Linked DNA regions of Arabidopsis thaliana. The protein of the gene in region 1 interacts with the protein of each later gene in a pairwise test. Each region holds a gene or a part of one and is shown on either strand. Other genes may lie near its edges.

Region 1 (3,307 bases):
AATATGCTGCGAGCCACTACCAAAACATCGAAATCGATAAATCATATCAACAAAACGGATATGTTCAAGAGAGATCTACAAACAATTTGGAGATAGTAAACGAAGGGTATATAACGACTCCAGCGGAATTCAATATATGTTTCACCGGATCTTCGTCTCAAAATCATATAAACCCTTTCTAAATCCTCATCTACGTTAGTATTGGAAGACACGCCATAGTGCCTTGGCCGAGATTGGACTCTTTCTAAATAAGGGTTTAAACTTTAAACTACTACTACGTACATGATGGTAAAACATGTATTCTAGATCTGCTGATCATGATTGTACATAAAAGTGTGAAGTTTAGAGTTATATTTTTAGTTGGATGGTATACCACTTGTTCACGTTTTCACAGTTGTATGAAAACGTTGTTTTTACCATTCACGTTCAACAAATTTTTACGTTTTTACGTTTTAGAAAAATTGATTCCGCTGTATATGTACGTACTTGATGAAAGTATTGACTAAAAAAAGAAATCAAGAATATGAGGGTAACTTTGTGATTTACTTAAAGAAAGCCTCTCAAAAGGATTGAGTGGGGATGACTCAAATACTTATTACCAATTTGTCTCTGAAACTCTCTATTCAATTACCTTACCAACCCTAATTTACACATCAATAGCATAATGAAATTGAAACTTAGAAAACAAGCATGAATGATACTATTTGATTAGGCATCTTCTTAATCAACCGTAGTTGTTGTTGTAGCAGAATCCCTACGAAGCTCCTTGACGAGAGTAGCGAGAGCCTCAGGGTTAAGACCAATATCGCAAAGAGCTATAAGAACAGACAAAGTATGTCGATCAAGACCTGTCTCCAAGATGTTCGACATCCGAAACACCAGCTCCAGTGACTCTCTCGCTGTTTCAGCTGCTTCCTGATTCATAATACTCTGAAACCACCAAACATCATCCAGAACAAAAAAATATCAATTTCGGAAACGATTCAATTTACATATGAATATCTACTCTATTCTTGTACGGATCTCCATGGATGTACAGAGAATGGAAACCCTTAAAGTGGAAATCGGAGACTTGCCGACGGATCAAGAGATACATTAGATCGGAAAAAGGTTAAGGAACAAAACGAACCGATTAATCGACGGAGAAAACGAACGGCGTCGAGTTTGAGAGAGAAGAAGTGAGATCTTAGAGCTTGAGATAATTGAGAGAAACGATTCTCGATCTCGTGATCGAAGAAGAAGAGGCGAAAATGGGCCAACAATTAGAATTTAGAAATCTAGGGTTGTTTTTTTTAAGAAAATAAACCTTTGGCCGGTTCAGAGTATATTTACTGGTTCATATCAAATCGGTCGGTTAAATAAAATCCGCCGGTTTTAATACAATCGAAGTCTCTGAACTAGTTTTAATCAAGGGATTCTTTTTTGTCGGAATCAAGGGATTCAAGACCTTGTTATGATTAATTCGGCCAAAATTGACAAAATTGCATCCAAATTTAGAGACTTATTTTGTAGTGATATCCTTGAAATTGGAACTTTTAACTTTTAAGTAGCTTATGTTAGTCGAATTATCCGAAATTTCTTAAAAACATATCAATGTGAATATGTGATGATCAAGATTTATTCCTTGACGACAAACACATTAATGGAAAGCCAAACTCAAAAGTAAGAAACTTGAAGTAGAAAAACCATCGATGATGAGCGAACAGAACAGAACACCTTTTTTGGTCTTGAAAGCAAGAAACAGAACATCGAAAACTAGAACGAAATACTGGGACTAGCATTTCGGATACGGACAATGACAATCAGTGGCGATTATTTTGGCGTTTGGGGAGTTAAGGAAAGATTTGAAGTTAGGGTTCTTCAAGTACTGGCAGATACAATGCTGTTGCTCCTTCACCTTGCTGCAACACAGATCCGATGGCTCAGACCCTTTCATTATGGTCTCCAAGCATGGACTCAGCTGCGCAGGATTACATGGATCTACTGCAGCGACTCTGTTTTCTTGGGCAACAATTAAAATGAGAAGGATTGTACAAGTGAAAAACACTGGTTTTGTGCAAGAACCCTTCATTGTCTCACTAAGTTATAGAAAGAAGAAGAAGATATTTGGTTTGGAGTTTAAAGTGGGTTTCTCTCGTTCTATTTATAGAAGAAAATGTCTTTGAGTGAGTCACGTTACTCAAACGAGAGTTTGTGGTTGCAGGAGATCTCGATATGTCTAAAAGAGATTAACTTTTTTCTAAAAGGCTCGGACAAAGCATAAAAACACCTAGGCACCATTTTGGAGAAGTTATGAAACCACGTGTAACCAAAATAGATGTCAGCTTTCGGCTACCCCCAGTGAAGGTATATGAATTTGTTGACACTTAAACAAAGTAATGAGAACACCTTCATAATTATATATTTTACTTCATTACTATTGTACTAAGCACAAAATATGACTTAAATTTCTAATTATATTCAAAAGGCAGAACTTACAGCCAACATGGACCAAAAACTGATCTGTTTCCATTCACTAGGCAGTTGCTTCCTTTCAAAATCTTCAATGTAGTGCATAAGTCTGTGGCCCAAAACCAAGACCAATTAGAGTTCATTGATCACAATGTTAAACATATATCAGGCCATGAAAGAATAAAAGAAGATAAGCTGCAGTATATATTAAGTTTACTCAGACACTTTTCTAGAATCCATATTCTCCATGTGGTATCAGCCACCAAGGTTTTCATACTTAGCACATAATGAATAGGATAAACAAAGCCCAAGACACATGATTAAGCAAGCAATCACACGCTTAAAGATTAAATAGTCTCTAACAAGCACAGTGTTAGAAAATCTCTAAAGTACTAAATAATTTGTATATCCATTTAATCAAGTTATACAAGTAGAAAATGCAAAATGTGACAAAAAAATAAGAGACTGTAAAATACAGAAGAAAATGTTCTCTTTGCGAGTACCGTATGGTGCGAAATCCAAAACTTACCATGTGTTAATCACTTTCAGAGTAAGAATAAGACGAGCGATTAGCTTTCAGGGCATCAGTCTTAATATTGACATCAGACAAGCCAACATCATTGAAACCATCAAACTCTACATCGGAATCAGACGAATCACCATCTCTCAAGTCATCACTCTCAATATCTGAATCAGACGAATCACCATGGCCATCACTCTCAATATCAGAGTCAATATCGTCAACCTTATGTGCATCGTTAACTGGATACTTACGCACCACATCCATCACTTCATCATCACTATCATCGTGCTTCCCTGATAACTTCCTAATCATCAATGCCTCAAATAAATCAGG
Region 2 (5,632 bases), on another chromosome or scaffold:
AAAAGTAATTACAATGATTATCTTACCATTTAACACAATAATACGATTGACAAACACGAATCTTTTTTGCTTACCTTCGATGAATTAATATAAGCTATATAACAAAGGATCTTCAAGTCTTGGACGGATTTGGAATTGGAATTCTCTGGCCTTGGACTCTGTCAAGATCTTACCCCCGTACGAACCTACTTGGTGTGAGAAGAAAACCAAGCAGTGCTTTTGGAATTTATTGTGTATGTGTCGGATCTGACTTGGATTAGAGCTAATGGTGAATATATAAAGAAGATGAAGACAAGAGTTTCGTCTTTGTTGACGTACGAGAGAAAGATTAAAGACAATCATTTTGAGTCTCCTAAATGAATTTGTTTTTCTGAATTCTGACACTTAGTTTCTTTAGTCAAATCACTTTTGAAAAAGTGTAAAAGCGTCACTTTGTTTAACCGAATGGTCAATTTTTTGAAGATTAAAACTGGCTATTTCTAACCTTTTTTTTCTTCATGTTTTCTTGTTGTATATATATTGGCCCATTTCTCATAGACAAATCTCAAGAAAATGATAGTTCCTCTCCCTCCCCTCAAGAAAAGTTTTCATGCATTGTTTTTTTCTTTTCTTTTTTATTTTGTGAAAAAAGTTATTTCAAGTAAATAAGTGGTTTAGCATTCTAAACCGCTTGTTCAAAACCTACAAATCAAAGCAGCAGAAATCACAACAACGAGTTCTAACATTACAAGCGACACAATCATCACTAAAATTTAAATTGCATGAAAAAAGCCCCAAAAAAATAAAGTAAGCACTCCCTTTAACTTAAACACTCTTCCAAATGCTTGGAGAATAAAACCCAATATGTAGAGATTATTACGTACTGTAATCTTCACCAGTGTACAAAGTTGTCGCCGTGTGATGATTTTCAAGTAAACACAATATTTCCCAGGTTAGAGCTTCCAGATCTGAAATAAAATTGTTTCCAAGCTTTAACACTTCAAATATTGTGATAAATATGTTACAATATATATATATATATATATACACACCATATGTAACACACAAAGAAAATAACCATGATAGATTAGATACACCATATATATCTAACATTAAAAGCAAATAATCATAACATCTAAAAGGTAAAAGAACAAACAAAAGACAAAAGCTAGACATCTAAAATAGTAAAATGTATAACATCGAACCACCAATATCTTTTACTCTAAGACTTTTTACCAGACTCATATACTCACACACTCACAGAGTCACACACACACATAGTAATGATGTCTTGATGATTAGATAGACCACATTGCACACAAAAAGATATAATCATGACATCTAAAAGGTAAAAACAAACAAAACACAAAAGGCATGTGAAATGGATAACAATGAACCAACATAAACTTTTGTTTTAAGGGACCAACAGAAACTTATCAAAAGTATCTTTAATCGAAAGAATATTTAAATAGCAGAAAAATATATATCCTTACATGTTGGTATTTGCATGAATGAAACTAAATATCTGTTGGATGGAACTTGCTATGTCTTCTGCCGTAAACCTCGTTTCACTTGTTATCTGCACATATTTTACATCTACCTCATGTTAGCCATTGATAGTTATTACATATACTTTAACAATACAAATCCATAATCTATGATTATATTGAAAACCCTAAATAAAATTATAAATGTGTTTTATGACAGCTAATCCAGATTAGATAATTACATGTATTATTTGATGAGTCTAGATTTTGCATATGAAAGCTGAATATGAATGATGAATTACTTTTTAACATATAAACTTGCCTTGACATTAAAGGAGTAGAGGACGGTTTGTTCCATGGTAGTGATGTTAGTGTGAAGAATAGAGAGATGAAGATCCTCCAAAGCAGCTATAGTCTTAATCAGCTGTCCCGGCCTTCTTCTTGAAAGTATCTTGATCATGGCGTCAAACCCTAGCAGCTTCACCTCCACGTCAGCCAAGCACGACTTGTTCTCCGCAGTCTCCTCCCGAAGCCCTCCTCCGCCCTCTAGCTCGGTTACATTTCCCGTAATAATGAGCGGTTGTGCTTGGTTCGCTACCGTAGTTATGGGAGAAGAAGAAGAAGTCGTTGTCGTTGTCATGTCCCTACCGGTTTCTCCTAAGATTCTTCGACGCTTCTGTGATTCAAGACATTGTAGGAGTTGCTCGAGCTCTCTCACAAACTCTATTGCTCCTCCTATGATTGACGCTTGGTCTCCCTATTTTATACAATTAATATTTGGTGTAGACAGTATAATTAGTTGTACATATACATATAAAAAAACATTCACGAAAATTCTTTCTTTAAGATATAATTTATGAATATCATACCCTTTGAACGTAGGAGCCAGGCATGAGAGATCTAAGGACACGAAGATGCTCATTCATTTGCTTCCTACGGTTTCTTTCGACCGCGATATGAGTCATCCGTTGGCTTTCCACTTCTTCGCTGGTCTTGCTCGTTCTAGCTCTCTTCCTCTTGCTCTTCACCTCCTTTTTCGTAACATTCTTGTTCTCCCTATCTTCTTCTTCTCCTCCAATAAAACGTAGTTGCACGGAGTTGTTGTCGTTGTCATCGTCTTGATCTTCTTTTTCTTCAAGAAACACATTGCCTATGTTTCCTCCACACTCACCTCCTTCTTGAGACGTCTGATGAGAAGGCATGAGATGTTGGGTTTGGTTATGGTCCTCTATTTTGTCGTTCAAGACAGGGAACTTCAAGAAATAAACGGGGTCAATCCCGGTTTCTTGATCGTCTTGGTTTCTGGTCTGGTTCAACGCAAGTTTCGAACCGAAGTCCGCAAACTGCATCACATCAGAGAAGTTCATTTTATCAAAAGGTGTTGCTCCAAATCCGGAAGGAGAGAGTTGATGTTGCTGCTGTTGTGGCATCGATTGCTTTTGTTGTTGTTGAAGGTTTCTATTGAACATATAGTCTATCATACCAGAGCTGTTATCATCGTTACCGCCTGAGGATTCACCTAAGAAGTTTGGTGCCTAATAAAAACCAGAATTGGAGAATGAAGTTAATATCATAAGCAGGAAGATTTGAATCTTATACATAGATATCTATCAATTTGTATAAGAAAAGAGATTAAGGATCTTGAAATACTGGAAAAAAAAACGTACGTACCGAGTAATCTTTATCCATTGCTATTCGTGGTAGTTGATTATAAACTGCTTAAGTCTAATGAAGGTCAAGCTTCTTGACCTGATGACAACAATCCATGAGCTTCACAGTCAGTTTTAAAAACATATACATGAAACAAAAACACACGTAGAACAAGTTAAAACCAAACCTAGGCAGATTACATGTTTCACCATATACATATACATGTATTTTATATGTACAAAACAAGTTTTCAAATTGAATTTTGACAATTAAAAAAAATGATTAACACCAAATATATTAGAGCTTTGTTTAGTAAGGAGTTAACAAAATAAAAGGGACTGACCTTGTATGATTTGCTAGGGTTTACGAGAGATGTATATAAAAGACGCAAGACATGCAAGATAGTAGAAGAAGACGGATTAGAGAAGACAAAACTTAAAAAAGTGAGGGGAGCTTTTTGTATTGAGAAGTCATAAATGAGTAAGCATCACCAAGCTCCCATATTTATAGAGAGAGATACATTATACATGTGTACACAAGGTATAGCAAGGGGGCATTAAATTTCTTAAGTATGTATATTCGTAATCATTTGTTTCTCTAATTACTAATTAGGGTGTGAATGGTACACATTCGTGACCCAATAAAAACAAATTAAACGACTTAAAAAAAGATACGTAAACATGTTTCAAAAAAAAAAAAAACAATTTTCTAAAGAATAAAGATAAATGAAAATCTACATAAGTTAATCTAAAATATTGAGGATTAGTAGTAAGTAGTTTGATTGCAGTGGCTGTTTTATTCTACTATCATATTCCCATTAATTATCGAGACATCATTGTTTTTCGCAATTTTCTATGCATTCTCTTTTAGTTTCTAAAAGTAGAGAAATATCAACCATCACATAAAATGTTTTAGAAAATCTAAAAACTACAACCAAAAGATATCAATCGTGGGAAAAATGAATTTTCGTTACTATTGTCCTTTTTTATTGCTTTGTAAGAAAGAAAAAGGGATGTTATTATTGCCCTCTTATAATTGTTAGAGATACTTAATGCTTAGTAAAAAAAGCTTCCAATTGTAGCAGGATAAAGCCGTGCAGTCGGAAGTTCTCAATGTCTCCCCAAATGCTTTTGCAGAAAATCATGATTGGCTAATCAAAAGATGCTCATTCAATCAATCCCTTTGTATTATGCACATAATGTGTCAATATTAATTTTCATCCCATTTGATATATAAATATCATTACATATATAGTTATCTAGTTCTTCTCTATCTTCTACATAGAAACACATAACAATCCAAATTTTACGGTCAAATTTGAAATGGGGGATCTAGAGCAACTCCCTAGCTTATTTTGAACAAAAATTAAGTTCAATATTGACTCAAAAGAAAGATTATTGAATATTCCAAATCATATCTTGTTTTTGTAATAAATACTCTATTTCTTTTTGCGTTAGACGTAAGGGTGAGGAGCCACAAAATACGAAAAAAGAAGTAACGTGAAAACACACGTGTATCAGCTGATCACCTCTCTATCTATCTATCTTTTTTTTTTGTTTGTCAAACCATAAATGATAAGATTTGAGTTTTTAGAGTTCACAAGCCAAGGCCGCTCTTTTTCCACCGCTTTTCGTGAACTTAATCAAATCTCTATACGCTTCTCATCTTTTAGTTTATTTCTATAGTATTTCAAATTCAAGCACTTATATTAGTTATGTGTTGTCAATAAAATATGATTTCTAATAAAAATATTCTGGTCAAATATATGAAATTAGTTTCACGAACATGACCTATACTATTTGTGTGTGTACGTGGAGACATATACATTTAAAGAAAAAGACACTGGTGTGGATGGTTACGTTTTAACTTTTAACAAAAAGTGGAGTAAAAATTCACGTTGATCAATCCAGTGAACTTTTTCGGGAATAAGAGTCGCGGATCCATAGGAGTATTTTAGTAGGTGCATATTACACAAATACTATGTTGAAAAGAAAAAAAGAAACATGAAAGAGCTTGCATCGAAGCATCAACCAAAAAAAATACTTGCTGCAACCATTCCCAATTGAGCCAACAAAACAACTATTACGATACATAACACCCACAGGCCACAAGCATCGAAATACTGTAAGATATATAGATTTTAAGATCAAACTTCAATGATAGCGAGCGAAGAGACTGATTGATATACTCAATTCTTTTTTAATTCCAAAAGAATAATTTACATTCTTTTTTATCATAAAAAAAAGTAAAAAACATAAAAATTTGCATTCTTATACCATAAATTTATTGTCAATATACAAGTGCAGTTCAAACCAAGTAAACACACATATTTATTATATCTATATCATATACATACTTTTGTTTTGGACTTTTTTTTCCCACTCATATCAATAAATTTTTCTTTGAGTAGTAAATTTAACACTAAAAATTCACTAGTAAAACCACTTAGTGATGGTGATCCCAAAATCAATTTCCAAACTTTTATCACCACCAATATCATTACCAATTTTCAATTA

The links. The genes of interacting proteins can lie anywhere in the genome.
Region 2: the proteins of GIP2 (region 1) and FMA interact in a two-hybrid assay, tested with the Arabidopsis thaliana proteins (one large-scale study listed by BioGRID).

What each region holds. Positions count from the first base shown.
Region 1 is NC_003070.9:27,742,636-27,745,942, reverse strand, and holds GIP2 (mitotic-spindle organizing 1B-like protein (DUF3743)), read right to left. Parts: upstream 1,295-3,307; 5' UTR 1,130-1,294; exon of another isoform or gene 931-1,129; 5' UTR 925-930; coding exon 721-924; 3' UTR 514-720; downstream 1-513. Other genes in the region: SARD1 (Calmodulin binding protein-like protein), read left to right, coding at 1-182; AT1G73780 (Bifunctional inhibitor/lipid-transfer protein/seed storage 2S albumin superfamily protein), read right to left, coding at 1,775-2,071; AT1G73770 (coiled-coil protein), read right to left, coding at 2,987-3,307. UniProt on the Arabidopsis thaliana protein: Required for gamma-tubulin complex recruitment to the microtubule organizing centers (MTOCs). During mitosis, modulates gamma-tubulin complex localization, spindle stability and chromosomal segregation. Necessary for gametophyte development and embryogenesis.
Region 2 is NC_003074.8:8,714,618-8,720,249, forward strand, and holds FMA (basic helix-loop-helix (bHLH) DNA-binding superfamily protein), read right to left. Parts: upstream 3,595-5,632; 5' UTR 3,460-3,594; intron 3,216-3,459; 5' UTR 3,156-3,215; coding exon 3,138-3,155; intron 3,002-3,137; coding exon 2,336-3,001; intron 2,224-2,335; coding exon 1,789-2,223; intron 1,559-1,788; coding exon 1,473-1,558; coding exon of another isoform or gene 1,469-1,472; exon of another isoform or gene 948-1,468; coding exon 908-947; 3' UTR 501-907; downstream 1-500. UniProt on the Arabidopsis thaliana protein: Transcription activator. Together with MYB88 and MYB124, ensures that stomata contain just two guard cells (GCs) by enforcing a single symmetric precursor cell division before stomatal maturity. Together with SPCH and MUTE, regulates the stomata formation.